Elephas maximus indicus: one gene and its partners. The protein of the gene in region 1 purifies or fractionates together with the protein of each later gene. This does not show direct contact. Links are inferred from orthologs where the notes say so. Each region holds a gene or a part of one and is shown on either strand. Other genes may lie near its edges.

Region 1 (7,480 bases):
GTTTTACTAGGCCTAAAGGGCTAAAATCCTCACTCTCTCCAACTTACTGCAGGTTGATGTCTCGAACAAGAGGTTCAAATTTGGGGCCTCCAGGAATGGCCATATTAAGTGCCTTGGAGGTAAAGAAGGCCTTTAGATCAAACAGATAGAAGTAGTTGTCATCTACCAAGTCTGTCAGGAGCTGATTGGCCAGGCGGTAGAGAGTGGACATCATGGGCAGTGTGAACTGCCAACGCTGGTAAGTGGAACCATTCACATACCTAGGGTTAAAAAAAGGGGACCAAGTCAGGTAAGTATACCAGCTAGCAGAGCCATACCACCTACTGCTCACCCGGGACTCCGAGGCTTCTAGAACTCTTATAGAGTAACTCCAACCATCACTCACTTCCTGCTATCCCTTAATGGCTGGTGGTCGTAGAACCAGTCCAACACAGGGGCATCCTCCTCTGGGTCCAGCTCTAGCTGAATGGCCTCAAGTGGCTCAACATCTAGAATATTGTCAGCATAGTCCAAGGGTGGCTCCTCATCATCAAAAGGGGGGAAACGCATCCTCTTAAAATGCCTCCTGTCTCTCTTTTCTCGACGCATCATAATCCACATCGACCTGGAAGTCAAGAACATTACACAACTTCTACTCACTGCCCCTTCAGCCAACACCACCACCACACACCATATTCCAGCCCTTCTCACCCCCACTGGGAGATGTAGACAGGCTCAATAACCCAGGGAATCTCATTGACGAAGGAAATAGCTCCAGTGATGTGGTACAGCACAGGCACATCCCGAATCTGCTCCCAAGGCATGGGCATGTTCTCCAGAAGCTTGAGGACTGCATGGGGCATGTACTTTAGGGCACTGTGGCATTAGGAAAAGAAAAATTAACAAGCATGACAAGGTGTTCCGCCACTCAGCAGAGAACCCACATGGTATCACAGTACCACATTCCACAGAAAACACTGCCTTACAGTCCAAACTCCCAAACTTAGCACACCTAAGCCCTCCAGGATCAGAAACATGTCTTACCCTCTCCAACCTCACATTACACCACCTTCCCCCTTAAACTTTACGGTCCTGCAATATTGGATAGTAGTCCCTTTAAAGCAACAAAACAACACCCTCTTTGTTGTCCAGCTTTTCACATTTTATTATTTCTGTACCTTCCCACAAGTAACAAAAATAAAATATTCATCATACTTCATTGTAACCATTTCACGTCTGTCATGCCACTAGACTGTTAGTTCTATGAAGGCAGAGATCGTTACTGCCTTCTTGACCGTTACATCCTTAGAATCTAGCATAATTTAAAATATATATATATTTTTGCCTCAGACCAGTTCATTAGCTGGCTAACATTTTTATGTCCAAATGGGACAGGAATTTGCTAAGGCATTTGTACCTGAGAATATACAGACCTCAAACCAAAAAAACCAAACCCACTGCCGTCGGGTCAATCCCAACTCATAGTGACCCTATAGGACAGACTAGAACTGCCCTGTAGGGTTTCCAAGGAGCAGCTGGTGGATTCAAACTGCCCACCTTTTGGTTAGCAGCCCAGTTCTTAATCATTGTGCCACTAAGTATCTCAAACCTCAGAATTTTGGTCATTGAGGTTTTAAGACAGCTAAAAGTACAAAGTGTCCCACTCTGGACTTCAATCCATTCAATGACAGGAACATATGAAGAAAAGCCAAAGCACCAAAAAGACAAATTAAAGCCCCAGCCCCAGATAAAGAAGAAAAATCAGAGCAATAAAGAGCATAACTGGAAAACCTGCAAATTGTCACAGAATCCTAGTGGTTTCCTTCTTTCTCTACAAACGCCAAGATGGCTGTCATTGTAGAGTCCTGTCCCCAAATGATAGAGCAGCTATCTAGCACTGCAACCTATAGGGCGGCGAGAAAGTAAAGGAGCTAAACTCCAAATGAAATAATTCCAGATGTTCCTTACCCCAAGTAGACCCTTTTGTCATGGCGAAACTTCCTGTTGGTCATGTCTCCATGGTCTCGAATAATCTTTCTAACATGTTCTGGAGGCATGTCTTCCTTCTGAGCATCCACAAACCCAAATTTCCGCTTTTCTGCGTAGCGCTTGGCCTGCAATTGCTGCCATTTTCGGGCTACAAAGGCATCTCAGTTTGAAAAACTGCACTCCCTTAGCCTAATGATCCCCATCTCCTGCCCTAGGGTAAGCACCTGTCCGGGCCTGTGAGGGGGGCGGGGCACCCAGATGTGGAGAAGGTGACTTCCCCATCTAGAAAGAACAATCTCCACCAATTCTTTTGTCAACTCATTGTGCTTTATCTTTTGTTTTTTCGTCTTTCGACTTATGTTTTACAGACTTTTAAGTTTTTTATTGTCTATCTCCCTCACTGCAATTTAATCCGTAGAGGCAACAGCTTTGTCCTCATCGCTATTATATTCCCCATTACTTAGATCAGCTCCTACAAATAACAAACGCTTAAAAATACTTCACTAGTTGAAAAATAAATAGGGCTAAAAAGGGAGTCCACATCTACCGGTAATGACCTGACAAGCGGTGGGGGGGAAACTTTCTAGGTTGCCCCAGGAAAGGCTTTCCAAACCCCCCGCGCGCACGCGCGCACACCGGCCCCTAAGTCTCGGGGCCCGCGCGCGTCATCCCGGCACACTTTCCTCACCTTTCTCCTGCAGCTTCTCCTCCGACATGTAGTCCGGCAGCGGGGCTAAAGGGCCGGGCACCGGGTTACCCGGCCCCCGGTAAGGAAATACTCCAGCCATGCCTGGAGAATCTGGGGGACGGAGGGGGTGAACAATCAACGAGCAATAGGGCCTGGGCCCAGAAGAGGCGCAACATGAACGCGTCCCGGAGACTGCTCCCCAGCCCCTGCAGCCCCGCCTTGTGCAGAGTGCACCCAACCCGGCCCAACACCTCCCGCCGCTCAGTCCGGCCCTTAAAGCCTACCACGCACCCCCACAGCCCCCTCGCTCAGACGGCCGCTCTTCCCGCAGCGCAATGGCGGCAAAGCTACGTCCGCTCTGCGTTCCCAACGCCGGAAGATGCGCAAGCGGGTTTAGCAGTTAACCCAATAGGCGACCAGATTCTCAGATGGATTAGAGAACTCACCAATTAGAACTGCGCGCCGGGTTAAGGGGGCGGGTGCATATGCGGAAAGGACTTGAACTCAAGGGGTTGTGGAGGGGTAGGCACAAGCCCCGCCTCCCGTATTTTCAGAGGTTGATTTTGGGGCCTGTGGTAGACTTCGTCTAGTTGGCGCTTCGCGTTCTAGTGTGAGGAAGGAGAGACTAGAGCTTCAGAGTTTCAATTTGTCAAAATTGCACATTGTTCTGAGTCTGTTTTTCATAAATGTAGATTTGAGATGCAGGACTAGTTCCGGGTCCATCAGTCCTTTGTTCGTTCATTGGACCATCTATAGAGTCCCCACAAAGTACCAGGCATTGGGGATATACCAGGGGAAGAGCGAACCGCAAGCTCTCACAGAGCTCACAGGTTAGCGGGGAAGTCAGACTAGAACGCAGGCTGTTAACAAATGCTGTGTGATGAGAGTCCCGGAGTAGGGCTTTTCACCCTGACTGCAGAAGATACCGTGGGGAACTCCATTGTTGGGTGTCTTTACCCCCTCCCTCTCTATTCCTCTTTTCTCTCTCTGGCAATGATTTTCATTACACTATGGAGTGTAATGGGCACCCCATGGAGTACAGTGGACACCCTATAAATGCTTCTTGACTTGCCCAGATTCTGTCTTGCTGCCTGAATTGCTCTCCATCTCCTGCCATCCTCGTTTCACATTCCGTCCCTCTTGCTCCGCCCTTTGCAGCTCTGTTTCTGTAAAAACTTTGAATCTGACTCAGTCAATAGACAAGTTTGTTGGAATTCCCACCGAGCTTATTGTGGGGGATTTGAAGGTAGTGTAGCCTACACACCCTCTCGGTCTAATGGAAACTTAGAACTCAAATGTGAAATAATTAGAGAAAAATGCAAGCTAGAGAACAGGCAAGTGCTGGTCGGTATGGGTGTTCATACATTCCGAGAAGGGAGGAGAATTATTAAAGAAGTTTTTACAGAGATCATGGATGTGAATCCAGCAGGTCACTAGGGTCAGTGTCACCCAATGCAGTAACTCACAGTGTCACCCCTGCCATGGACCTCCCCCCATACCAGACCACAAGGAATCCTTAGGAATGTTTTTTGTACTAGAGATACTTGTAAATCATCATTCCCATATATCACTCCCTCTTTTCCCTTTATTACTACTTTGTTCTCAAAAAAGCTATTTGTATAGGTTCACAAATACTAATTACCACAATATTGTAGCTAAAACACCAGAAAATTTGACAAAACCAGGAACTATAAAAACACCAGCAACAAAAAACAGCAGTTCTTGTAGCATGTGCAGTCCACGTGATTCGAATCATCATTGTGATTGGGTAATAATGACAGCGCTGACCAAGGGCATGAACCCCCAGTGCTACCGAGGGCATTAAAAAAGTAAATTAGCATAGAATTTTAGCCTTGTAGGTATATTGATACATGTAAGCTGGACTTATGAAAAATGTTATTGTTATAACTAACTACAGAGATATTTTTATAAAAAATCATAAATTTTTGCTGAAACCCTGCACAAAAATTTTATAGACAGTCATTTTGGTGTCACCCCCTTTGACAGTGTCACCAGGTGCGGTCAGCACCCACCCCACCCCCCTAGGAGATGCCACTGTGTGAATGATTTGATGGGGGAAATAAAGGGGAAGGAAAAGGGAGTCTCAGGTGATTTGTACCCTTACCAGTAGACTAAGCACTTAGAAACAGGAACTAAGGTGGCATGCTCTGAGAACAGCGAGCAGACCAACCTGGCTGTGATTGGTCCAGCATCGTTATGATTTTCATCATGATCATTGCAGTGACGTCCTTCACACCCGTACAAGGTTCACTATGTGCCAGGCATTGTTCTAAGCAGGGGTGAAATCTAATATGGTTTGTAATTTCACCAGTAGTATTGTACCAATATCAATTTCCTGTAGTTGCTCTTTTCTTGTTTTGATTGTCCCTGCTATGGTTATGTAAGAAGTTATCAAGCTGGGTGAAGCGTATGCAGGAATTCTCTCTATTATTTTTTAACAAAATTATTGGGATGCGGTTTACATACCATAAAGCTCACCCAATTTAAGTGTACAATTCAATGATTTTTAGTATATTTACACTTATGCAATTACCGCCACTAATTCCAGAACATTCTCATCATCCCTAGAAGAACCTTTGTTCCCATTAGCACTGACTTCCATTTCCTTTCCCCTCATACCCTTCAGCCCTAGGCAACCACTAATCTACTTTCTATTTCTATAGATTTGCCTATTCATGACATTTCGTATAAATGACTGGCTTCTTTCACTTAGCATAATGCTTTTGAGGTTCATTCCATATTGTAGCCTATCAGTAGGTCATTCATTTGTATTACCAAATAATATTACATTGTATAGATATAGCACATTTATCCAGTCAGTTAATGAGGATTTAGGTTGTTTCCACTTTCTGCCCACTGTGAATAATGTTGCTGTGAATATTTATACAAGTTTTTGCTTAGACATATGTTTTCATTTCTCTTGCATATGTATCCAGGAGTGGAATTGCTGGGTCATGTGGTAACTCTATGTTTAACCTTTTGAGAAGCTGCCAGACTGTTTTTCAAAGCTGTTGCACCATTTTACATACCCACCAGCAGTTCATGAGGGTTGTGATTTCTCTGTAACCTCATCAACAATTGTTATTATCTGTGTTTATATTGTAGCCATTCTGGTTTACATGCAGTTGTATCGTATTGTGGTTTTGATTTGCATTTCCCTAATTTCTACGATGTTGAGCATCTTCTTCTGTGTTTTATTGGCCGTTTGTATATCTTCTTCCAGGAAACGTCCATTCAGATCCTTTGCCCATTTTATAATTTGGTTGTCTTTTTATTATTGAGTTCTAGGACTTATTTATATATTCTAGATACACATTTTGAAAATTTTTTTCTCCCATTCTGTGAATTGTCTTTTCACTTTCTTTTTTTGCAGCCAAGACATGGCGTGATTTGACCTCTTGGCTTCTCTATCCTTGCCTCGTGCTGACCTGTCCAACAGCAGCTTTTTAGATCCCCAGACACTCCAAAACATGAACTTTGGTCTGTTCATAAACCTTATGGCCACCCCACTCCCCTCTCCCTCTTCCAGTGTAGTAGGCAGCCTTGGAGATGGCTCTCAGTGATTCCTACCTCGTGGTTTTATCCCCTTGTATTCCCTGCCCCTTAGTATTTACTTCCCTTGGAAGTAGCTGGACTTACCGACTCAATTCTAACAGGACAATATGGCAAAAGTGGTGGGATGGCACTTCTGAGATTTGGTTATTAAATGTCTTTTCACTTTCTCGATGGTACCCTTTGAAGCACAGAAGTTTCTAGTTTGAATAAGGCCCAGCTTGTCAATCTTCTGTTTTATCACTTGTGGTTTTGGCCTCATATCTTAGAAATAATTGTGTTACACAAATCAGGAACATATGCTCATGTTGTCTTCTAAGAGTTTTACAGTTTTAGTTCTTAAATATAGTTCTATAATTCACTTCAAGTTAATTGTTGTATATAGTGTGAGGTAGTGGTCCAAATTCATTCTTTTGCATGTGGATATTCAGTTGTCCTATTACTATTTGCTGAAAAGACTGTTCTTCCCCCCATTGAATTGCCTTGGCTCCTTTGTTGAAAATCAATTGACCTTTTGTTTCTGGACTATTCTATTAATCTTTCTGCCTATCTTTAGGCTCTCCATGCTATTTTTGCAACTTCTATGTGAGCTAAAATTATTTCAGAGTAAAAAGTTAATAAATAAATAAGCTTATTAAATCCTCAATCTTACATGGTAAGCACTATTACTATCCCTATTTTACTGATGAGAAACCCAAGCTCAAAAAGTGAATAACATGCCTAATTACATGAACTGTGTGCCAGGTTCTCTCTAACAACTTTACATGAATTAGTTCATTTTATGGTTACAATAATCCAATGAGATTGGTCTTACTATTACCTCATGCGGTGCAATGAATCGCTTTTATATGGTCTTCTGGCCATGGACTTGTAAATCCCATTAAAATGATTGGCTGGGACTATGCAAATAAGGTGTATGGAACCCTTGCGGATATTGGACAGCCTGCTAATGCAAATAAAGTGCATGGAAACCTTGAGGGAATTGGTCAGTTTTGTCATCCTAAAAACAAAAAGGCTTGAAAAGAGCCAATCCCAAAGGTTGAGGGGAGGCCTCACTACCATCAAGAAGAGCCAGGAGCAGAGTCCATCCTTTGTCCTAAGCATACCTGTGCTGAAAACCTCCTAGACCCAGGAGACAGAGCTGTAACACTGGAGATGGCAGTGGCATGAGATGGCAGTGGCATGAGATGGCAGCAGCACAGGACCGGCAGACTGCTGCAGTTGGCTGGCTGATGCATAGAGTGAGAGAGT
Region 2 (7,078 bases), on another chromosome or scaffold:
TGCCCTGGTAATGAATTTGGATTTTACTCTACAGGTAAAAGGGAAAAACAGAAGAATTTTAACCCAAGGGTATGTGAACACCCATGTTTTAGAAAAATTATTCTATGAAAGACAGATCAAAGGCAGAGAAAACTGGAGTGAAAGTGACCAGTTACACGATTGCTATGATAACTTAGGTGTGAAATAAAAGAATGAGGGCTTGAACCAGGACACTGGCAATGTGGGTAGATGCCAGAGATTCTAAGAACAGGGTAATAGAGGATAGTCTAATACAGCTCCCAAATTTATGAATTAAGCATCTGAAAACAAAGAATATGACAGAAAAAGTAGGTCTGAAGGGAAGGAGTAGAAAATTTCATTTTTAGTCATGTTTGGTTTAAGGTACCAAAGGGGTAGCACAGTACAGCTAGCTGTCCATTAAACAGGAGAATTATGGGTCTGGAATGTTAATAACCATGGACTAAAGAAACAGACCTAGAAAGTATCAATGAATAATGAAAAATATAAAAATACGCGGAAAAGAGAACCAAGCACAAGATCCTAGGTGCAGGCAGGGAAAAAGGAGCCTATGAAGGAGGCTGAGATTGAGAAGTCAGAGAGAGGTGGAGGAGAATCCAGAAAAACAAAAGCCAAACCAGACAAGAATTTCAAACAAAAGAACACGGCCAGTTTCATGTACAGCAGAGGTCAGAGCAAAAAAGAAGGGTCCCCTAGGTTTGGAAATAGGTCACTTTTGGGGTGGAAATGAAAGGAAAGAATACAAGTAAAAGTTAAGGAAACAAAAAGTTGCAAGTTTAGGTTACTCTTCAGGAAAACTTAAATAAGAAATGGAACCGTGGCAGCACATGTTAGTGTAAACAATATAAAGTATTTTGTTTTTGTTTACATAAAAAAAAGGAGAGCTCTGGAACTACCTATTTTTGTTGAGGGACAAAAGGCAACAGCAGGAGTGATAACAAAACCCCTCTACCAAGCTCATCCCTTCTTTTCCCAGCAAAGAACACTCACCTGGATGGGGCATCCCACCTGGTGGGAATGGATGAGGATGTGAATGTCCATGTGCAGGATGTCCAGCCCCAGGGGTTCCTGCTGATGGGGGGCCATGTCCTCCAGCCCCAGGAGGCATAGGTGGCGGCGGCATGGCTGGGGGTATACCGGGTGGAAGGGCTCCAGGAGGTGGTACTGGGGGTGGGAAAGAGCCAGGAGGAGGCATACCTAAAGAAGAAATGGAAGAAGAGTTACTAGTACTGAGAAGATGATATCTTTAGAGAGCTTGTGCCAATCAGACCTCTCCAAGAAGGATGACCTCTTTTCCCCTCTTCCCAGCTCTCTTAAAGCCAGCAACAGTGTTAGACAACTCAAACAACTTCACTCTCCTGGAGAAACCCAACAACTTTCTTCCACACCACAACCATCACCCCCCCCAATGCCCTCATCACCCACTGACTTGCTGTCCTTTTTTCCGTTCTTTTCCACCCTTCTGTCCCCTCAACCCCAAGACAAACACATTTTGAATCAAAAGCTTTACCTGGCGGAGGAAGCCCAGACCCCAACGATGATACCACAGGATTGGGGGCAGACGGTGGAGGGGGTGCATCTGCAAACAGCTGGTGAGGACGGTCAGCCTGGGAGAGTGGGTTTTGGGCTGCCAGAAGTCGTTCAGCTGCTGAGCCATGGCGCTCACCCTTAGAGTCCTTCTTAAAGGCATAAGACACAGTGATAGGGCGGTTACATAGGTACTGCCCATTCATGGCCTCAATCGCTGCATCCGAAGCATCAAATGAAGCAAAATTAATAAAGGCATAACCCTTGGAGTTGCCTGTGTCAGGGTCCCGCATAATCTTGGGGGTTTGTAAGATGACCCCAAAGGCGCTGAATGTATCATAAAGCAGCTTCTCGTCAATCTCTGGGTCCAGGTTCCCAATGAAAATGTTGGCCCCTACATCCAGGTTTTTGTTGTGAGCTGATGCTTTGTTCACCCGTATTGGCTTCCCATAGAGTTTGATCATGTTCATGATCTTAATGGCATAGTCAGCATCTTCCTCACTTAAGAATTCCACAAAGCCATAACCTGTGTATAAAAAAGGGAAGGTTAACAAATGAAGTGAAGAGACTCGAAAGGGGGTAAAACTCATCCCCCACCAAGGCACAAACAAGAAAGAAAAAAAAAAAAACCTCACTTCAATGAGAATGGTTCTGGAAACAAATTATGAACTGAGGTTCAAAAGAAAGGATTCTTTAAACGCTACTCCTTACAAACACTGTGACTACTACAGAGCCCACCAGGACCACTACATCCCCTCAATACACAAATGCATGTCTTGCTAGGTACTCACCTTGGTGCTGGCCAGTGACTCTATCCTTTGGCATGTGGGTGTTGACTACAGGCCCTGCCTGGAGAAACAGCTCCCATAACAGTGGTTCGCTAACCTTCTCATCCAGGCCCCCCACGTACACAGTAGCATCTGAAGGAAAAGTGAAGGTTAAGGTAGGTGTGAGAGTATAACAAGAAATGAAGGGGACAAGAATATGAAAATGCAATTCAGGCAAGATAACTGGGGGTGGGTTTAGGGGATAAGAGCAAAAAGAAAAAAAAAAAAAGATGTTAGATCAAGCCCTTAAATCCCCTTCTTCCCAGGACCTAGAGAATCTTCGGAAGTCCAACACCGTGTTCTATTGAAAATTCTACCTTTCTCCGTGGACTTTGTATTTTTTTGAGTGGGAAGGCAAGAGGAAATTGGGCACAGAAGGCATCACACATACAGGCCTCAGCAAGCACCCGACCACCCCGCCCCCGGCAGGCATGGCTGCCGGTCCCGCGCTCTACGAGGCGATCCAGTCACTCGCCCCGGCAGTGACCCTGCTGGCTCTAGTCGGAGCCTCCCAGCTCCCCTGTGCCCATTCCGGGCTCGTCCCCTCTAGTTACCCTGATTCCTCTCAGAGATCGGCCCGGCCGCCATGGCGAACGAGCTCCCGCCGTCTCCAAGCAGCAGCCCCGCCCCCTGACCGCAGTCGCGTCTTCCACTTCCGGGGCAGAGGCCGTGGTAGGGTGGCGGGCGCGGCCGCGGCAGGAGAGGAGCCGGAAGCGGCCGGAGCCATCTTAGGAGGCGCCGAGATTGGGCGCGGCTTGGGATACTCTTGCTGTGGGGTGTTGGTCTTGCTCCGGGCCGCGCCTGCGAGCGCCCGAGCTGGGAGGGGAAACGGAAACGTTCAGACCCCGTAAAGCAGTGCTAGAGGTTAAACCATGCAGCTGCTCCCGAAAATGTAAATTTGAAAGCTAGAAACAAAACTGCTTTTCATGTATCTTGTAGCCAGGTGATCTTTTTTCCTTCAGAAAAGTGTTGAGGAACCCGCGCCCAAGGGCTCGGCTGCCTTCCACCTTGGCTCGCAGCCCTCGCCAGATTCGGCTTCACAGCTCCGGCCTGGGCTTGAGGTATTTTGTTTTCCCTCGGGCGGGTATTGCGGAATGTCTGAGCGGGGAGTGACGTCGAAGCTCGGCTAGCCGTTATTGCAGGGGGATGATGGGACACCAAAGCCAAGGGGTGGCTGGGATTGAAGCCCAGAGCCTTGTCTCAGCCGCCTGAACACACTAGCCCAACAACAACTCTTGATATGCTCCCCAGCTCTTGCCACATCTACCCCTAAAGTGGGAGGCACAGAGAAATGAACCCCTTTTGCCAAATTACATGTGAATTCTGCAGACCCTCACCTGACTCCATTCTCTTATCTCGTAATAATATGGTGGGTGCCTTCCTCTCTTGGGTCACACCCACCTTCCACCCACCACTCTTTGCTACCTAGAATCATCTATTCAGATAAATGCCAGCAACGTGTATAAATACCGTGCTTTAATCAACCTTTTAAATACAAATGTCACTGCAAAAATACACAGCTGGAGGAGGCAGGGTGTCTCCCATATCCACCCCATTCTCATGGAGAACTATAAGAAATATTAATTGGAATTAAGCAGCAAGAGGGGTAAGAATGAGGTCACTAGGCCATCTTGTTGGGATGATGACCAGCATCTCTGATCTCACAATTTAACAGCTGATATCCAAAAGAGGTGGTAATGCCTTGAAAAAAATGGGAGATCACATTATAGATTTTGTTTACTGATTTCTTCAAATCACGAGAAACAAGCAAACAAAAAATCTCGAGGAATCAAAACACACAGGACAAGAGTTGGAGAAGGTTAGCGCCACCCCCTGCAATGGAAACTCAGGCCTGCTAAGTAAGCTTGTTTAAGGGCTGGAGTGTGGAAGCTGAGGCAGCAAAACCAGATAAGAAAAATCAGGATTAGACAGAACCCTCCCTCAACCCAGGCAGGCCTCTTCCCTGTCTGTGACAATGCCAGCAGTTTCAGCAGGGTTGAGAGAGAATGGTATTTGGGTCTCTCTTCTTAGAGTGATCTTCAGGAGATAGTCTTGGTGGTCTTGGCGTCCATTTCCTTAATAGCTCCTGAAGATGGGATAGCTCATCCTGGAGGCCAGAGATTGTGGGAGCTGACAGGCCCATCTGGGGATGGGGCAAAGAGGGGTAAGAGGAATATTATTGCAGTTCTAGCCCTCTCCTAAGATACACTACGTCCGGTGTCTTTAATTCTCCTTCTCCTTCCAACTGTGCCTGGGGTTCCACTTGATCTAAGCCACAAGCAGTTTCCCCCGCCCTCCCAAAACTACCCAGTTTGATACCAACAGGAGTGGTACCTCACTTTCCAGCCCCTCCCCCTAGCCCCTTGCCATTCCAACTCCGGCTCATCTGGTTCAACAGTCAAGCCCTTTCTCCCACTCCCAACCTCTGTCTTCCCTTCTCACCTGGACTTCAGGCCTTCCCCTCAGGTAGCAGCGTTTCCAGAGCCTGATCTGGGGTCCCAGATTTCCAGGAAGCAGTAGCCCTGGGGGTAAAGGGCAAGCCCCCCAATGTGAGGGGAGCCCCCACTCCTGGTCAGCCAGGCTTTCAGTGGAGATGGCTAGTCGAGGAAGCCAACGAGAAGAGACGGCCAGTAGGGAGGGACTGTCCCGCCAAGGACAGAGGTGATTAAGGGGTGTCAGGGCCCCTCTAGAGAAGAGCCACACAGAACTGGGGGGTCCAGGAACCATGAAGCGTGACTGGGGGGGAAAGAGAAATCATTTGGCAACCTAGAAACCAGACTACCCAGTTTTCCCAAGTTAGGCCAGGAAGAGGCATCAGCTGCCACTGCACTAGTGATTGGAATTACAAGCCTCTCCCTGAGAACTGTTTATCTACTCTCCTTATTAGGGTTCAAACTAGGCCTCAGGACTGACTGAAGTTGATTTAGGGAAACCTGTAAAAGTGAATGCATGAGACAGGAAGAATAATAAACAGAGATGAGAAGGACAGAAAGGATGCCTTCTATGCCATTCTAGGGTTTCTGTCTTTCTGGGGACAGTCAGGGCTCATAAGTGACACCTGCATAACAGGAGTGGGATAGCTCCCCATGGGCAACTAAGATACTGTCTTCCCACTTTTCCCCGTCTAGTGGGATGAATCTGTGGGAAAGTCAGGGGAATTTAGAAATCACTGACACCTCACCTGTCGTCTACGGAGCCAGGAATCTGGGCAGTGCTCTGGGTCATAGCCAGGATTATGGAATTGTAGGATTTGTTCATTGCTGTAGCGTAAACCCCAGTCCCAGACAGAGAGCTGCTGGTTAACAGAGTTCCCAGGTAGGGGCTGGGAGTTCCGTGGGGTGTACACTTGTGTATAGGAGCTGAACTGAACAGAGGAAGCAAGAAAAGGGATGGTTAAACAAACAAAAAATACAGTCCTTTTCCCAAATCTAAAGAGAAATCATCATGAAACGCTCACCTCTTACTCCAAAAATCAAATATAAGGCAAAAGTCCAGTCTTGAGAATGAGCATCAACCTCCTCATCCCCACCCAACACTTCTTTACTCAAAACAAATCAAGGCTAAACTTCAGATAGTACATCTCAACGGGAAAAAAAAAAGACAGGTCAGAAATGGAAGTCACTGACCTGTCCACTCTGCTTTCCACGCTCCCAGGGATTATCTCTCAGGAACGTAAGGGTGTCAGGGACTCTGACACTGTCATGAAGAGCAAGAAGGAAAAACTCAGAGAATTCAAACTCAGCTGGAAACTGCTGGAGGAGCTGCCAGACACAATCAAGGAAGAGGAGAAACACTGGAGCCTGAGAAGAGGGAAATTAAGAGATTAGAAGAGATGGTGAAGACTTAAGGGGGAAGATCACAAAATGATGAGGGGTGGGGGACACAGGAACGGGGCACTAAGGAGGTCAGGGAATGGAAATCTGAACTGAGGGTAGTAGGGGATTGTGGGACCTCTCTCATTTTGGTCTCTGTCTAATCTCAGCCTAACCTTAGGATCCTCTGACCGAATTCTCCTACAATGGATTATACTATGTATTATTCTCATCCCCTTACTTCTTTAGTAATACCCCCCAATACACTCCCAAATCCTCACCTCCTCACTGGCCCCAGTTCCCCCAAGCCGGGTCAGGAAGGGGTGTCCAGCTGCCACCCACTCTCGTTGTACTAGTGATTGAAAGCCAAGCAATGTTCGGGCTTCGGGGGCTGAAAGCAGCTGGACGAGTGAAGAGAGGAGGCCATTGAGATCACGATCACCGAGCTCTGGGTGATAAAGAGAGGGAAGGAGCAAAGAAAAGGGGCCAAGAAACTAGGGCAGGAGAGAATGGGAAGAGGAAACATGGCAAGGAGAAGTGAGAGGCACAGAGGAGAAACATTTTGGGTTAGGTAGGATTGAGAGGGCACATAGAAGGAGTGAAGAGAAAATAAAGATCTTGAATGACTCACTTCATAGACTCCACCTGAGTAGAAAAACCCAGCTCAATGTAGGAGGCACAGTCACATTTGTCAAACCAGCTTTGGCATTGCCCTTCCCACCCCAACCTCAGCACCCATGCTGTGATTGAAGGGAGGGAGCAGAGGGGCGAGAATCGAGAATCGTAGGGTTAGGGATGACAAACTACAGTGGGGAGGCAGAGGTAGTATGGAAGGGTAAGAATTAGAGCTCATGGGTAGTTTCTGGTAACTGAAGAAGAAGCTAGTCCTACAAG
Region 3 (7,549 bases), on another chromosome or scaffold:
AGTTCATATTTGTGAGTAAACATGCAGAGATCAAAAATGTTCCTCAAAGAATTAAAGCTGGGGATATTTTCAGGAATTTTTTGCTGTTTTCTTTATACCTCTGTATATGGACTTCTTACATTCCCTAGGGCAAGTTACTTCACCTACACCGTAAGTCTGTAGTGAAAATGTTTATACATATAGCACCTAGAACAATGCCGGGTGCACAATATGTACTCTCTATATATATTAGTGCGTTTCACTTTTACACAATGAACAGGAAAAGCTTTTACCAGGAAGTAACTAAAATTAAAGAGAAAAATACCCCTACTTTCAAAGAGTTTTTCCACTCCAACAATAGTTTTTGGGGGGATAAATTTTAGAAGATTTTGTGGGATGAGGGAAAAAGGAATAAGGCTAGGGTATATAACATAAACCTCCAACTTCTCTATCTGGCCCTGAAGTTAAAACACGCCAGAAGAAAACAAAGTCACAAATAGTTTGGGAGCATGAATGAGTGAAATCTCCCACTGAATCACTCTCCATTTGCAGCACTGCAAGAATGGGAAAATGGGACAGTTATATGCAGTGCCACTCACAGACTGACAAGCCTATGTTCTGATAAAACCCATCCCGGTTTTTTTTTAAATCTGCAGGATTGCATTTGAAAAGGCAGTCACCAAAAGTGACTTCAGTTGCCAAGTATGAAACACACTCCAGCACTGATGAACGCTGTAAGCTCATTGCTAAAGAATACTAGTTCTATGAAAAATGAATTATTCAAGATATGAACGTATAAAAACAGCCCTCCAGAATTTCAGGACTTGGGCATTATTCCAAATATGAACTCTTTTTCACCTACAGACAGAAGTCAAGCACTATTGAAGGGAATCATAAGGGCACCACCTAGAAACAAAAAGGGACAGACATTCATTTTGCAGGGGAAAGGGAGCAACCACATATACAGATGAGACCTCTAGCCCCAAAGAAAGCATTTTTAGTGGTGTACATACACAGGGATATAAATATTTTGTGCCAAACTAAAGTCTTGTGAAACATGTTTGTTCCATCTCAGCCAGATAACAAGCAATTTATTTTTGCTTCACAGGCATCAAGAACCAAGTGTTCCCAACTTTACAAGTCATTAAAATCGGCTGCAGTGACTTTAAACTACAGCCATAGGCTGTATGTTGTAACGGAAAAAGCTCAGAGTGAAAAATCAGAAGCTCAGGGTTCTACATCCGGCATTCAACTGCGTAAACCTGCAGAAACCACCTTAACAACTCTGGGTCTCCTTTTCCCACTCCTTGAGTGAGGCTCTGAAGTCACTTCAGCTCTGAGGGTCTGTGACATGTTGCTTCAACGCCATCAAGTTTTGCTGGGTGTTTTTTTTTTTTTTGGAGGGGGAGGGGCAGCCTAGGGAGAAAACTGTCTAATACTGTAAACTAAATACTTTTCAACATTAAAATGTGACATACTTCTGCTTTATATATTCAATATACGGAACTGCATTAAAAAGTACACCCTATCCTGGCATTTACTGGACACAGCAGAGACCTACAAATCAATCCAGATCATGGGCTTCTGGTCAACAATTCCCCAAAGCTACACAGATGGTTTAACACAGTTATTCTGTACACACACACATACACACACGATAAGATAAAATCATCCAAGGAATGTGAACATTCAGGACATTGTGTTTTTGCCTGAATTATCCAAAGAGATCTCTGTACTTTCGGGATAAAAAAAAAAATTGAACAAGAAATGACTTTAATGCAATTACTAATGCACCTTTAAAAAAGGACTAAGGGAAAGGAAAGTTATCTGAAACAGTAAGTCTGTATTTCAAGTCCCAAACAACCTCCCCACGGGGCAATATTTTGCCGTAATTAAAACCATTTTTTGAAAAGCGTTTTTTCAAAAGCTACTTATAAAGAACAGCAGAAAAAACAATAGAAAATAACTTATGGGGGGGGGGAAAGAACGCCTTCTATCCCTACCCCACTGATTTCCGATGCCAATGCTTTAACTAAAGCAGGAAATAAAGGAGATGGCGGGAGCGTAGGCAGAGAGCGGAAGTTTGTCTAGTGTCTTTGAAGTGTTTGAATGGACCGAGGCACGCTCCCTCCCGCCAAACTATAAACGTAGCCTTCTCCATCCCACCAGCCTTCCAGCCCGCCAGGTGTACTCCACGTTCCCCTTTCGACAGGCCCTCTACTCTCCCTTCCCCCGAGAACTCCTCGTTTGCACGTCTCACACTCAACTCCCGCCACCCCCATCCCAGCCTACACAAGAACCCAGGCGCTTCTTTACACTCTCTGACTCTCCCTTCCTGAGATCCAGCCACTCCCCAAGGTCCACTCCCCGGTCCCTCGGCCTGAGAAGTGCCTGGTGCCCTTGGAAGCGAATACTCTCGCCGCGCCCTCCCCCCTTACCCCCCCGCCCCGGCTCCAGGCCTTACTCGGGAACCCGAACCACGAGGTCCGCGGGTCCCTCCCGCCAGCCCCCCTCGAGTCGAGCTCTAATCGGCCCGTCAGATACGTCCTCGTGGCCACAACAGGCCCCTCCACCTACCCGACGGTGGCGGGCGGCGGCCCAGCCACACACACACATTCCCCGCGTCCTTGCTGGGCCGACCGCGGAGAGTGGCGCCGCTTTCCTCCGCCCAGAGGGAAACAAAGACTCGAGCTCCGGAGCCCTCTCGGTCAGGCCGGCCCTGGCCTGCTCCCCGCCGGCCCGCCGCGGCTCCAACAAAGCCCGAGCCGCTGCCTCGCGCCCCCGGCCTGGCTTACCCATCGGTCCCCGCACGCTTCTTGCCGGAGGGGTAATCCTCCCCCAGGTCCAACCGGTGCCGCTTGGACATCTTCGTACTCTTCGAGCGGGTGGTTACCAAGAAGGAGAAAAAAGAGAAGCCAGTGGCTGTAGCGCCGCAGTCGAGGGCAGCTACTTTGGAGAACCCCCACCCCTCCCGCTACAACAGCCTACACCGTGCGGCCGGAACCAGGAGCTAAAATGGCGGCGGCGACGAGGGCTGGGCCTGCGCGCGCGCTTCCGCAGCGTACGTACTGTGCGTCCTTGCGTGCGTAGTGCACGCGCACGACTCTCGGAGGCGGCAACTCTGGCCCCGCCCACCAACGCTCTGGCCCGCCCACCCCGCGCCCCGCCTGACGCCTCCCTATTCCCGGCGCTTTCCGAGTCTGAGAGGGTGTAAAGAGCCGTGAGACGGAGGCGCTTGAGGCTCCGCTTCTGTCTCACCGTCCCGCTCTGATTTAGGAAATTGAAAGGGAGGAAGTCTAGTCCTAGTTAGGAAATCCTACCTATCTGTATTGTCTTGGCTTTAGGGCAATCTGAGACCAGCCAAGCCAGGACTGGAACCTGATCTAAAACTCCAAATCTAGAACTTGTAGCTACTGTGCTAAACACTCAATTGCAGAGAGAAAACTGAGATGAGAAGATGTCATGACTTGCCATGATCCATTTTGCGCTTTCTCTACCCAACACGGACAACATGCATTTGGGCTATAAAAGTTTTGTTGGAGTAGAGAAAATTGGCAGTAAGGGGATAATTAGCTTTTTTTTTTTTTTTTTAATGCCTGTTTTGCACTTGTGACAGCGTTAATCCTACCTCTTTACCTCACTCTTACGGTAACCCTGCACGGTAGATGTTATTTTATAGGCGTGGAAGCTAAAGCTGAGAGCGGTTATGAAATGTGCCCCAAATCGCAGAGTCAATAGTGCTGTACCCAAAGCAACAGCAAACTAGTGGAGCAAGATGCCTCTGGTGCCTTTTGTGGACCTCTCCCCTTCTTCCTGGGTTGTGTCCATTCAAGAAAGAAATGCACAAGAAAAAGAGCCATGGACCAAACCCAGCTGGGTGACTCCTGTAGTTCATGCAATTGACTCTAGCTGTCTTGGAAGGCCAAGCTCTGGTTCTATCAAATCCTTAGCACTGCAAGTGAGAAGATTAAATACAACTTAAATATTGAACACTGAAAAATAGGGTTTTTATTTTTTTCTACCAAACACACATTCCAAAGTCAGCACCAAGAGAACTGGATATCTTCTTTTCACTTATAAAATACTCAGTGCAAGTTTCTACCCTAAATGTACATTAACAGTGGATTGGCTTTTGTCAGAGATCACAATGTATGATCACTGAATTGTAAACCTGGGAAAGAATTTCCAGCTGATTTTCTCTTTCCACTTAATTTTAAAACCCCATTGCCGTCGGGTTGATTCCCATAGGGTTCCCAAGGAGCGGCTGGTGAATTTGGAACATTGACCTTATCGGTTCACAGCCAATATCTTAACCACCTGAGCCACTAGGTCATGACCAAATTCACACAGCCAGTTAGTATCAAAGACAGAATTAAAATTCAGAGTTCACTTTAACTATTTCATCCTCAGGTCTCCAAGTTCCCAGTTGGAGAGCTACAATAACATGCTCTAAAAAAAAAACGGAAAAGGTTGGAATTCTGCCTTCAGAAGTGCTCCGGCCTAAGAGGAGTCAGCCACTCAGAAGTGTGCAAAGAGCCTTCGTAAATGAAGAACTGAAACCAAGGTGATGAGACCTTTTTCCTTGGGCCTAGGATGTATCTAAAGAAACCTGTAACCTAATCAATTGTGTTGTAACATGAATTACTGAAGAAAGGTCATATTTACCAAAGATAGTGGCCTTTCTGGAACCCGGAATAAAGACAACTAAGGGCCAGAATCTGCCAGGATGTTTGTACTTTCTGGGAAGAGGAGCAGAGCTCTGAGTCTAGATGCTCTACCCTAGATTTTCAGACAAAACTGACTCTAGAGTAAAGAAGGGCCACCCACCAGGACCCACAGCTTGTTGCCAGAGAATATTTATTACCTTTACTCTTACTCTTTGTCTACTAGACAACCCTCTGATCTAGTATCTGACCTATGGCATGGATTTACTCACCTGGAGGGAATGTTTTATGCAGCTATCCAGCTCCAGATTGCAAGCCAGGGTTATCTCCCAACCTAAAGTAATGAATGGTAATGATAATAGTTAATGTGTATAAAGCATTTAGGAGTCCCTGGATGGCAAAAATGGTTAAATACTTGACTACTAGCCTAAAGGTTTGCAGTTCAAACCCACCCGGAGGTGCCTCGAAAGACAGGCCTAGCAAAAAGTCACAGCCTTAAAAACCCTGTGGAGCGGTTCTATGCTGCACACACAAGGTTGCCATGCATGAGAATCAACTTGACAGCAACTAACAATAACGACAACATTGTCATGGATTGAATTGTGTCCCCTGAAAATGAGTGTCAGCTTGGCTAGGCCGTGATTCCCAGTATTGTGTGGTTGTCCTCCATTTTAGGATCTGATGCAATTTTCCTATGTGTTGTAGATCCTACTCTCTGCCGGTGGTTAATGAGGCAAGATTAGGTTATGTTAAAGAGGATTAGGGTGGGATGTAACACCCACACTCAGGTCACAGCCCTGATCCAATGTAAGGGGAATTTCCCTGGGATGTGGCTTGCGTCAGTTTTTATATTGCAAGAGATAAAACGGGAGAGAAGTGAACAGAGAGATGAGGACCTCATGCCACCAAGAAAGAAGCTCTGGGAGTGGAGTGCATGCTTTGGACCCAGGTTCCTGTGCTAAGAAGCTCCTAGGCCAGGTGAAGATTGATGACAATTACTTTCCCCCAAAACAGACAGAGAAAGACTTGCCCTGGAGCTGGCACCCTGAATTCAGACTTCTAGACTGTGAGTTAATAAATTTCTCTTTGTTAAAGGCATCCTCTTGTGGTATTTCTGTTATAGCAGCACTCGATGATAACTACGAATGTGGTAACAGAAAACTGGGATACTGCTCTAACAGATACCTAAAATGTGGAAGCGGTTTTGAACTGAGTAATGGGTAGATGCTGGAAGAGTTTTAAAGTGTCTAGTAGTAAATGCCTAGATTGCCTTGAAGAGACTTTTCGTGGAATTATGGACATCAAAGGCAATTCTGGCGAGGATTCAGAAGGATATGAGGAGAGTTGTCTCAAAGGGTGGAGCCATAACCTTCAGGGTTTCAAATGATAGGGCCATAGCCTCCTAGGTTTCAAAAAATCAGATCTTCATCAACTTGATTCCGGAGTGTTGGGCTGCCTCTCACGAGCGCCAGTGGGATGGGGCCAGATCCACTGTCCAAAGCTGAGGGGGCAGGGCTGCCATGCCTGAGGTTCAGAGGGACAGGGTCTGCTGGGGCAGAGTAGGTAGGGTCGCCGCTCAGTTGGGCTAGAAAAACAAGGCTGCCCAAATGCAATGGCGCAGGACCAGACAGTTTTGTGCTGCTGTACATAGGGTCGCTATGAGTTGGAGCTGACTCGACGGCACTTAACAACAGCAGCAACAACAAATGCAAGGGGGCATAGTTGCTGTTCCAGTGGGCCTGGAAGACTGAGCTGAAGCCCAGGGCCGAGGGGCCTCCGCTCAGAATCCGGAGAGTGTGGCCAACACTCAGAGTCTGGAGGGCAGGGCCATTGCCTAGATGGTCTCAGAGAAAAGAGAATTATTTTCAAGCCTTGAGAGCTAGTGTAAATTGTTCTGCTGGATTTTTGACTTGCTAGGTTTTGTTATCCCTTCTTTCCCTTCAGTTTTGTATCCCCCCCAAAATATGTGTCAACTTGGTTAGGCCATGATTCCCAGTATTGTGTATTGTGTGGTTGTCCTCCATTTTGTGATTGTAATTTTATGTTGAGAGAATTAGAGTGGGATTGTAACACCACCCTTAACTCGGGTTACCTCCCTGATCCAAGGTAAAGGAAGTTTCCCTGGGATGTGACCTGTACCACCTTTTATCTCCCAAGAGATCAAAGGAAACGGAAGCAAGCAGAGAGTTGAGGACCTCATACCACCAAGAAAGCAGCACCAGGAGCAGAGTGCATCCTTTGGGCCAGGGGTCCGTGCGCCTGAGAAGCTCCTTGACTATGGGAAGATTGAGGACAAGGACCTTCGTCCATAGCCAAAAGAGAGAGAAAGCCTTCCCCTGGAGCCAATACCCTGAATTTGGACTTGTAACCTACTAGACTATGAGAAAATAAATTTCTCTTTGTTAAAGCCATCCACTTGTGATATTTCCGTTATGGCAGCACTAGATGACTAAGACAAGTTTCTTCCATTTGTAATGGAAATGTCTAGCTTTTGGCTGTTCCACCGTAGTACTCTGGAAGCAGATACCTTGTATTCTAGGTTTCACAGATGAAGAGGAATTTTGTAGAAGATGAGATTTTGGATTTGGAGTTGATTTAAGACTTTTGCTATGATATGATGGGAGCTGAATGTATTTTACATGTGGCAAGGACATGAATTTTGGGGGCCAAAAAGTAAAATATCATGGATTGAATTGTGTCCCCCCAAAATATGTGTCAGCATGGCTAAGCCATGATTCCCAGTATTGTGTGGTTCTCCTCCGTTTTGTGATCTGATGTAATTTTCCTATGCATTGTAAATCCTAATCTCTGCCTGTGGTTAATTAGGCAAGATTAGGTTATGTTAAAGAGAATTAGGGTGGGATGCAACACCCTCACTCAGATCACAGCCCTGATCCAATGTAATG
Region 4 (7,826 bases), on another chromosome or scaffold:
GGCTTGTTCTCAGGAATCTTACAAAGTCTCATAAAAAGACCGACAGGCATGTAATTATAATGTGATAATTGTGCCCAAGGAAGCAGAGCGAACAAATGAAAATGTCTGGTGGGAAAGGCTAAGTAGTAGGTAACTTCAGAATTGAGAATGTGAGTAAAATGTCTGTTTACCAGGAGGCCAGCCAAGCGCCCAGGTAAGAGCCATGAAGTGTTCAGGGCATGGCAAGTACAGTGGGATCAGAGGGTACGCTGAGAGAACGGGGAGAGGCTAGATGACAGGGAGGACCAGGTCATGATGACAGATTGCACTCAGATTTTTATCCTATTGGCTACTGGATTTCAGTGGAATTTTAAAAAACTCTCAGTGTATAGAAAGCAGCTGACACTGAGCTTCTCTGGTTACAGAGGCTGTGATGGTGGTGACGTCCACCTGTGTAGGCTCCTGCTGCCATCTCCCGTAGGCCACCCGTCCATACTGCCCAAGGCCCACGAAAAGAACCCGCGGGAAAACCACGAGGGACACAACCTTTACCTGGGCTTTAATTTTTTCTAATTTTTTGTATCTGTTAGCCCATGACACATAAAAAAATCACTCTCTCATTAATTTTACCTCTGGATCTCCTTCAGACTCTCTTCCCATTGTGCATACTTTATCCAGTTACTAATCACGGTTCTGTTTTTCCTTATGTTATCTTCAAAAGTCTGGAGAAATGCAAAAAGCGTCAAGCTAGAGGGAAGACAGCTAAAAATGATATAATCCTTTGTTTATTAATCCTTGTATTAAAAAAGCCATTCATTCTACTCTTATTTAAGAGAAATGACATCCAGGAATCCTTGAAGAATAAAAAGCCCACTAAAGAAGATAAGAATCACAGGTGTTTCTTTGAAGTCTTATATGCAAAGAAAGTGAAATCTTAGATATAAAGATTAGTGTAATTATTGATATTTTCTCCTGTTGCCTATGACAACTAACTGATACTTCAGCCTATACGTATTCCTAATAAGAAAATGTTTTTGACTATTACCTTTAAGTCTTCTTGGTAACGTCTAAGAACTTCATGTATAACTCATTGAAAATATCTAATAAGCACACATGACAGGCTTAGTGGTTTAAAACAATCCCACATTTTAGGGTGGGAAAGTCAGATCATATCCCAAAGCGTCTTCCTAGCCCTTTCCCAGGTCTTAACTATTAACACAGAAGGTGGCACAGACAGAAGACCAGGATGCAGCCTTACTAGTATGCCCTTCTTGCTAGTACTCCCTTTTACGGCTGCCAGTTGTTTCCATCAGTTAAAATTCCACCTATCTTCAATGTTGTTGTTGTTAGGTGCCGTCAATTTGGTTCCGATTCATAGCGACCCTACAGGTAGAGGAGAACTGCCCCATTTTCCAAGCGGTGACTGGTGGATTTGGAGCGTTGACCTTTTGCTCAGCAGCTGAGCTCTTAACCACTATGCCACCAGGGCTCCATCTTCAATGTAGCACCAAAAATTATCTTTCTGGTGGATTTAATTCCTTTATGCTTTAAAACAGACAACTCATGGCATATTTAGATAGTTTAGCAAAATGCAATTATCTGGTAACCAGAAGTTATATTATTCATATGGCTAGAAACACTAACTTCTTATCTTACAGACTCTCTAATCAATGAGGAGCTTTTAAAATTCTGATCTATAAATTCCTAACAATATTAATAGGCTCTCTGAAATGTAACACATTGACTGACCTTCCTTTTCCTTAGTTTGTAATCGTTTAACTCTTCTTCATCTGTGATCTTCTGTTGAGGTGGAGGTGGAAGAAGCTCAAGTTCTCTTTCTTTAGCTTCTCTTAGGAGCTGCTCAGCAGTTATCTGTACCTCAGCCGGGGCTTTGTTTTTCACCTTTTAAGACAAATGACATTTCTATATAGGTGCTCAAGGTTTACAAAACAAATGAACACTTTTTAGCTTATGATCTTCATAAGCATTATTACAAGACAGCCTGATTATGACATGTTCCCGTTTCTCTATGAGCCTGAAGAGAAAAAAAACCTGTTTTTCTCTTACATTCTGATTCATAGTGACCCTATAGGACAGAATAGAACTCCCCCATAGGGTTTCCAAGACTGTAATCTTTACAGAAATAGACTGCCACATCTTTCTCCTATGGAGTGGTTGGTAGCCTTGAACTGTGACTTTCTGGTTAGCAGCCAAGTGCTTAACCACTGTGCCACCAGGGCTCCTTATTATAACCTCCACTTATGGGATTCTTCAACTTATCTCAATGCCCTTGGTAAAGAACAGTTTGATTTTTAATATTATTTCAAGTCAAAGACAATATTCAGTAAGTTCCCGTCATTAGACTGTGAACTTTGTGAGGTCTTAGAGCTCTGCTGTCCAACATGCTAGTCACAAGCCACCTGTGGGGAGTCCAGATTGAGACTGGAAATTTCGAAGACTTAGTATGAAGGAAAAAAAAAAAAAGTAAACTACCCCACCAAAAATTTTTAATATTACGTGTCGAAATGACAATATTTCGGTACACTGGATTAAACAATTAACATTAATTTCATTTTTGATGTTTTAACGTGGGTACAAGAGTATTGAAAATTATGTAAGTGGCTCGCATTATACTTCCATTGGACGGTGCTCTCTTATACCGACTCTGCTCATTACTGTTTTCTTCGCAGCTCTTTTTACATAAGAGGTGCCCGACAAAAATTTAGGGAATTGAGGCACAAAAAGTATTGAATGCCACATGGGCCTAACCCAGGACAACACTCCCTCGCCCAGGGCAGCGCGGAGGCTGGGCCGGGGGGAATCCCCTTTCCTAGCCCCCCTCCCGCCCGCCCCCCAAAGGCCTCTGGGTAGCAGCGGCTCACCTTAGCCACTTTGGGGATCCGCTGCTTTCCGGCCGCGGTGGAGGCCGCCATGTCTGCAGCCGCGGGCCTCCGGAGACCCCTGAATCCCCGAAGTTGCCTGGAGGGCTGGCCGACACCACCAAAGATTTTTGACAACAAGCAGAACCCCGGAACCGGAAGCGGAACTACCTTGGCTGACCTTTGACTTCTCGCACGCGCCGTGACGCAGGAAGCGCCGTTTCTGTGGTAACGGGATGCGCGTCCGTCCCGGAGCTGGCGGAGGAGCGCGCGCCCTGGGGCTGCTGATGAGGTGGGTAGCGCCGTCCTGACAGGAAGGGACGCGGAGACTGGGCCTAGGGCGTCCGAGGCGCATCCCCATGTCGGACTTCGGGACTGAGATGACAGTGGCAGCGCCGGTGGATTTTGCCAGGCGCCATCGGCTAGCTCCGATTTGGAAGGTCTCAAGGACGGGGAAGAGAGGCCGGCTGAAAACTACCACTCCCAGCATGCCAAGTGGCGACGTGCCGCGTTCCTGGGCGGCCCAGCGCCGCTTTACATTCTGGGTGTTGTAGTCCCTGAGGTTCATTCCCTGTTCGTTTCTGGACAGTTGTGCCCAAGATGAGAGCCTTGGTGGCACAGTGGTTAGGAGCTTGGCAGCTGATCAAACGGTCACCAGTTTGAATCCAGCAGCCGCTCCTGGGAAACCCTATGGGGCAGTTCTACTCTGTCCTGTAGGGTCGCTGTGGGTTGGAATCGACTCGACGGCAACTGTTTGGTTTTGATTTGGAACCCAAATAATTAACTCTAATGCTTAGAAGTTAAAATAATGGAAGACATTTTAAAGCCAGATATTAAAAAAAAAAAAAAAAAGGAATGAAAATCAATTAGCAAAGTGACTAGCAAACCATCCAGCCTCGTGGTCATATAAACCAATGTTTAAATTCTCTGCGAGTGTGCCTCTTAAATCATTTTAGCCTCAAGGTCTTCGACTGTAAAACAAGTATAACAATACCTATTTCACAGGATTAAAAAGAAAACCTGTGTAAAGTGCTTAATAATGCTATCTGGTATAATTATTGACCTGCCTTCAACAACAGAAAAATTAATTCTGTGCAAGCCAAACGGTTAAGAGAATTTTGACAGTTGCAAGTTTCTTTCGGTGTTTTCCAAAATATGTATTTATATATTTATGTAAGTAGTAATTTCAAGCATGTCCTACCTATGCAGATACTGCTTTCAAAAAATGTTTTATGCAGATTTCTTAAATTACAGTTATTATTAACTAACATCAAAATATTTGCCACAGCTTTGTACCACTTACTTATATTACTTAAACATTTTTAAGTTAAAAAACATCAAAATATTTGCCACAGCTTTGTACCACTTACTTATATTACTTAAATATTTTTAAGTTATCTCACATTAAAAAGTTAGAGATTTTATGTCACTATCATAATTTTTTTTATCATAATTTTTTTTATCATAAAAGAAGTCACCTAACAAAATAAAGAAATAGCTATTAAAATAAAAACATGTTTAATGACTTCCCTTCAATTTGTAACTATGCATAGTTGATCTAACAAAGTTAATCACCCCTAATGGCACTGGCACAGTGGTTTAGAGCTGAGCTGCTAACCAAAAGGCTGGCAGTTGGAATCCACCAGCCCCTTCTTAGAAACCCTATGGGGCAGTTCTGCTATGTACTATAGGGTGGCTATGAGTTGGAATCTACTCAATAGCAATGGGTTTGTTTTTTTGGTTTTAGCCTCCTCTCAGAGATACAAACACCTTAAAATGCTTTACTTCCTAATCACCATTCTTTCCTCTCACATGTTTTTTTTGTCTGCTTGTTTAGTACAACCTGGTTTTTAAGCAAAATTATCATTATTATTACTTTTCTTTTTGCCATCAGTGCTTATTTAGCTATACCTGCATGTTACCTTTTTTCTCTCAGCAGTGCATCTTGTATTCCACTCGTTTCTGATTTTAATTTTATTCGTTCTGGAATACATCTTTTACTAGTTCTCTTAACTGGGTTCTTTGAATGGTAACCTCTCTCAAGGTTTTTTTGTATGAAAGTGTCTTTATATCACCTTCATTTTTTAAAACAAGAGTATTTTTTTAAGCAGTTAATCATTAATTGGGCAAAACATAATGAAACTATTTCTCTTGTGGTGCCTGTTTAACTTCTAACATTTTCGTAGGTCGTCAATATTTTCACAGGTGTCTTATTTCTTCCTCATTTTTTTAAAATAATATTTTATTGCGTTTTCAGTGGGAGTTTACATAGCAAATTAGGTTCTCATTTAACGGTTTCTATATTAGTTACATTAGTTCATTAGTTATATTTTTCACAATGTGTCAACATTCTTATTAATTTCGTTTCCAGTAATCTGGTTTCCCTGCCCCCTAACCTCTTCATCTTTGTTTAGAGTGATTGTTGACCATTTGGTCTCATAGATGACTTTTTAAAGGCACCACTATGCCACCAGGGTTTCCTTTTATTTTATGAGCCACTCTGTTTTCCCTCAGGGGATGGTTTCATTTCAAGGCTTAAAGAGTTTCTTAGGGTGCCAGTCTTGGGAATCCTCTAGTCTCAACCAGTCCAGTAAGTTGGGACTTTTTAAAAATTTGGTCTCTGTTCCACATTTTTCTCCTGTTCTCTAAGAATCCATCCATTTGGGCCCTGATAAGAATGACTGGTAGTGGTAACTGGGCACCATGTATTTCTTCTGGTCTCAGGGTAGATGAGACCATGGTTCATGTAGATTGTTAGTCCTGTAGATTAATTTCTTCTTTGAGTCTTTGGTTTCCTTCTTTCTCTTTTGCTCTGGATGAGTAGAGACCAATAGTTGTATCTTACATGGCCACTCACAAGCTTTTTTTTTTAATTTTATTTTGCTTTAAGTGAAAGTTTACAAGTCAAGTCAGCCTCTTATACAAAATTTTATATACACCTTGCTATATACTCCTAGTTGCTCTCCCACTAATGAGACGGCACACTCCTTCCCTCCACTCTCTATTTTTGTGTCCATTTGGTCAGCTTCTGACCCCCTCTGTCCTCCCATCTCCCCTCCAGATGGGAGCTGCCCTCATAGTCTCATGTGTCTACTTGATCCAAGAAGCTCGCTCTTCACCAGTATCATTTTCTATCCCATAGTCCAGTCCAATCCCTGTCTGAAGAGTTGGCTTTGGCAATGGTTCCTGTCTTAGGCTAGAGAAAGCCTGGGGACCATGACCTCCGGAGTCCTTCTAGTCTCAGTCAAACCATTAAGTCTGGTCTTTTTACGAGAATTTGAAGTCTGCATCCCACTGCTCTCCTGCTTCCTCAGGGGTTTTCTGTTGTGTTCCTTGCCAGGGCAGTCATCGATTGTACCCAGGCACCATCTGGTTCTGGTCTCAGGCTGATGTAGTCTCTGGTTTATGTGGCCCTTTCTGTCTCTTGGGCTGGTAATTACCTTGTGTCCGTGGTGTTCTTCATTCTCCTTTGCTCCAGGTGGGTTGAGACCAATTGATGCATGTTAGATGGCTGGTTGCTAGCATTTAAGACCCCAGGTGCCACTCTCCAAAGTGGAATGCAGTATGTTTTCTTAATAGATTTTATTGTGCCAATTGACTTAGATGTCCCCTGGAGCCATGGTCCCCAAACCCCCACCCTATGCTGGACTTCGAAGCGTTCAATTTATTCAGGAAATTTCTTTGCTTTTAGTTTAGTCCAGTTGTGCTGATCTCACCTGTATTGTGTGTTGTCTTTCCCTTCACCTAAAGTAGTTCTTATCTACTATCTAATTAATGAATACCCCTCTCCTACCCTCCCTCCTCTTGTAACCATCAACCAATATTTTCATCTATGCTTAAACTATTTTTTGAGTTCTTGTAATGGTGGTCTTATCCGATATTTGTCCTTTTGGAATTGACTAATATCCCTCAGCATAATGCCTTCCAAATTCCTCCATGTTATGAAATGTTTCACAGATTCATTGTTGTTCTTTATCGATGCATAGTATTCCATTGTGTGAATATACCATAATTTATCTATCCATTGATGGACACCTTGGCTGCATCCATCTTTTTGCTATTGTAAACAGTGCAGCAGTGAACATGAGTGTGCATTTATCTGTTTGTGTGATGGCTACCTGAATGTCTTCTTTAGTGAAGTGCCTGTTCATATCCTTTGCACATTTTTTCATTGAGTTATTTGTCTTTTTGCAGTTGAGTTTTTGTAGTAACATGTAGATTTTAGAGATCAGCTGCTGATCAGAAATGTTATAGCTAAAAACTTTTTCCCAATCTGTGGGTAATATTTTTACTCTTTTGGTAAAGTCTTTGGATGAGCATAAATGTTTGACTCTTAGGAGCTTCCAGTTATCTAATTTCTCTTCTAGTTTTCATACAGTTCTGGTAATGTTTTGTATACTGTTTGTGCCATGTGTTAGGGCTCCTGGCATTGTCTCTGTTTTTTCTTCCATGATCTTTATCATTTTAGATTTCATATTTAGGTCCTTGATCCATTTTGAGTTGGTTTTTGTGCGTGGTGTGATACATGGGTCTTGTTTAATTTTTTTCCAGCTGGATATCCAGTTATGCCAGCACCATTTGTTAAACAGACTGTCTTTTCCCCATTTAACTGACTTTGGGCCTTTGTCAAATATCAGCTGCTCATATGTGGACAGATTTACGTCTCTTTTGCTTTCTTGCAGTTGTGTCTTATAGTTTTCTTTGTACAGGTCTTTTACATCCTTGGTTAGATTTATTCCTGAGTATTTTATCTTCTTAGGGGCCGTTGCTAATGGTATTGATTTGGTGATTTCCTCTTAGTTGCTCTCTTTTTTGGTATAGAGGAATCCAACTGATTCATGTATGTTTATCTTGTATCCTGATACTCTGACAAACTCTTCTATTAGTTTCAGTAGTTTTCTTGTGTAGATTCTTTAGGTTTTTCTGTGTATAAGATCATGTCATCTGCAAACAGAGATACTTTTACTT

The links.
Region 2: the proteins of PRPF8 (region 1) and SF3B4 purify together in Homo sapiens (affinity purification with mass spectrometry; 4 studies listed by BioGRID and IntAct, with this or other methods). This does not show direct contact. The link is inferred for Elephas maximus indicus from reciprocal best matches to the Homo sapiens genes PRPF8 and SF3B4.
Region 3: the proteins of PRPF8 (region 1) and DHX15 fractionate together in Homo sapiens (co-fractionation; 3 studies listed by BioGRID, with this or other methods). This does not show direct contact. The link is inferred for Elephas maximus indicus from reciprocal best matches to the Homo sapiens genes PRPF8 and DHX15.
Region 4: the proteins of PRPF8 (region 1) and CRNKL1 fractionate together in Homo sapiens (co-fractionation; 3 studies listed by BioGRID, with this or other methods). This does not show direct contact. The link is inferred for Elephas maximus indicus from reciprocal best matches to the Homo sapiens genes PRPF8 and CRNKL1.

What each region holds. Positions count from the first base shown.
Region 1 is NC_064837.1:20,023,670-20,031,149, reverse strand, and holds the start of PRPF8 (pre-mRNA-processing-splicing factor 8), read right to left. Parts: upstream 3,021-7,480; 5' UTR 2,948-3,020; exon of another isoform or gene 2,941-2,947; intron 2,768-2,940; 5' UTR 2,757-2,767; coding exon 2,657-2,756; intron 2,117-2,656; coding exon 1,948-2,116; intron 856-1,947; coding exon 691-855; intron 605-690; coding exon 386-604; intron 261-385; coding exon 48-260; intron 1-47. UniProt on the Homo sapiens protein: Plays a role in pre-mRNA splicing as core component of precatalytic, catalytic and postcatalytic spliceosomal complexes, both of the predominant U2-type spliceosome and the minor U12-type spliceosome.
Region 2 is NC_064821.1:184,069,571-184,076,648, forward strand, and holds the start of SF3B4 (splicing factor 3B subunit 4), read right to left. Parts: upstream 3,011-7,078; 5' UTR 2,961-3,010; coding exon 2,927-2,960; intron 2,466-2,926; coding exon 2,337-2,465; intron 2,072-2,336; coding exon 1,529-2,071; intron 1,216-1,528; coding exon 1,009-1,215; intron 1-1,008. UniProt on the Homo sapiens protein: Component of the 17S U2 SnRNP complex of the spliceosome, a large ribonucleoprotein complex that removes introns from transcribed pre-mRNAs.
Region 3 is NC_064823.1:138,877,542-138,885,090, reverse strand, and holds the start of DHX15 (ATP-dependent RNA helicase DHX15), read right to left. Parts: upstream 3,014-7,549; 5' UTR 2,846-3,013; coding exon 2,775-2,845; intron 1-2,774.
Region 4 is NC_064843.1:61,128,856-61,136,681, forward strand, and holds the start of CRNKL1 (crooked neck-like protein 1), read right to left. Parts: upstream 3,020-7,826; 5' UTR 2,913-3,019; coding exon 2,862-2,912; intron 1,882-2,861; coding exon 1,729-1,881; intron 702-1,728; coding exon 610-701; intron 1-609. UniProt on the Homo sapiens protein: Involved in pre-mRNA splicing process. As a component of the minor spliceosome, involved in the splicing of U12-type introns in pre-mRNAs.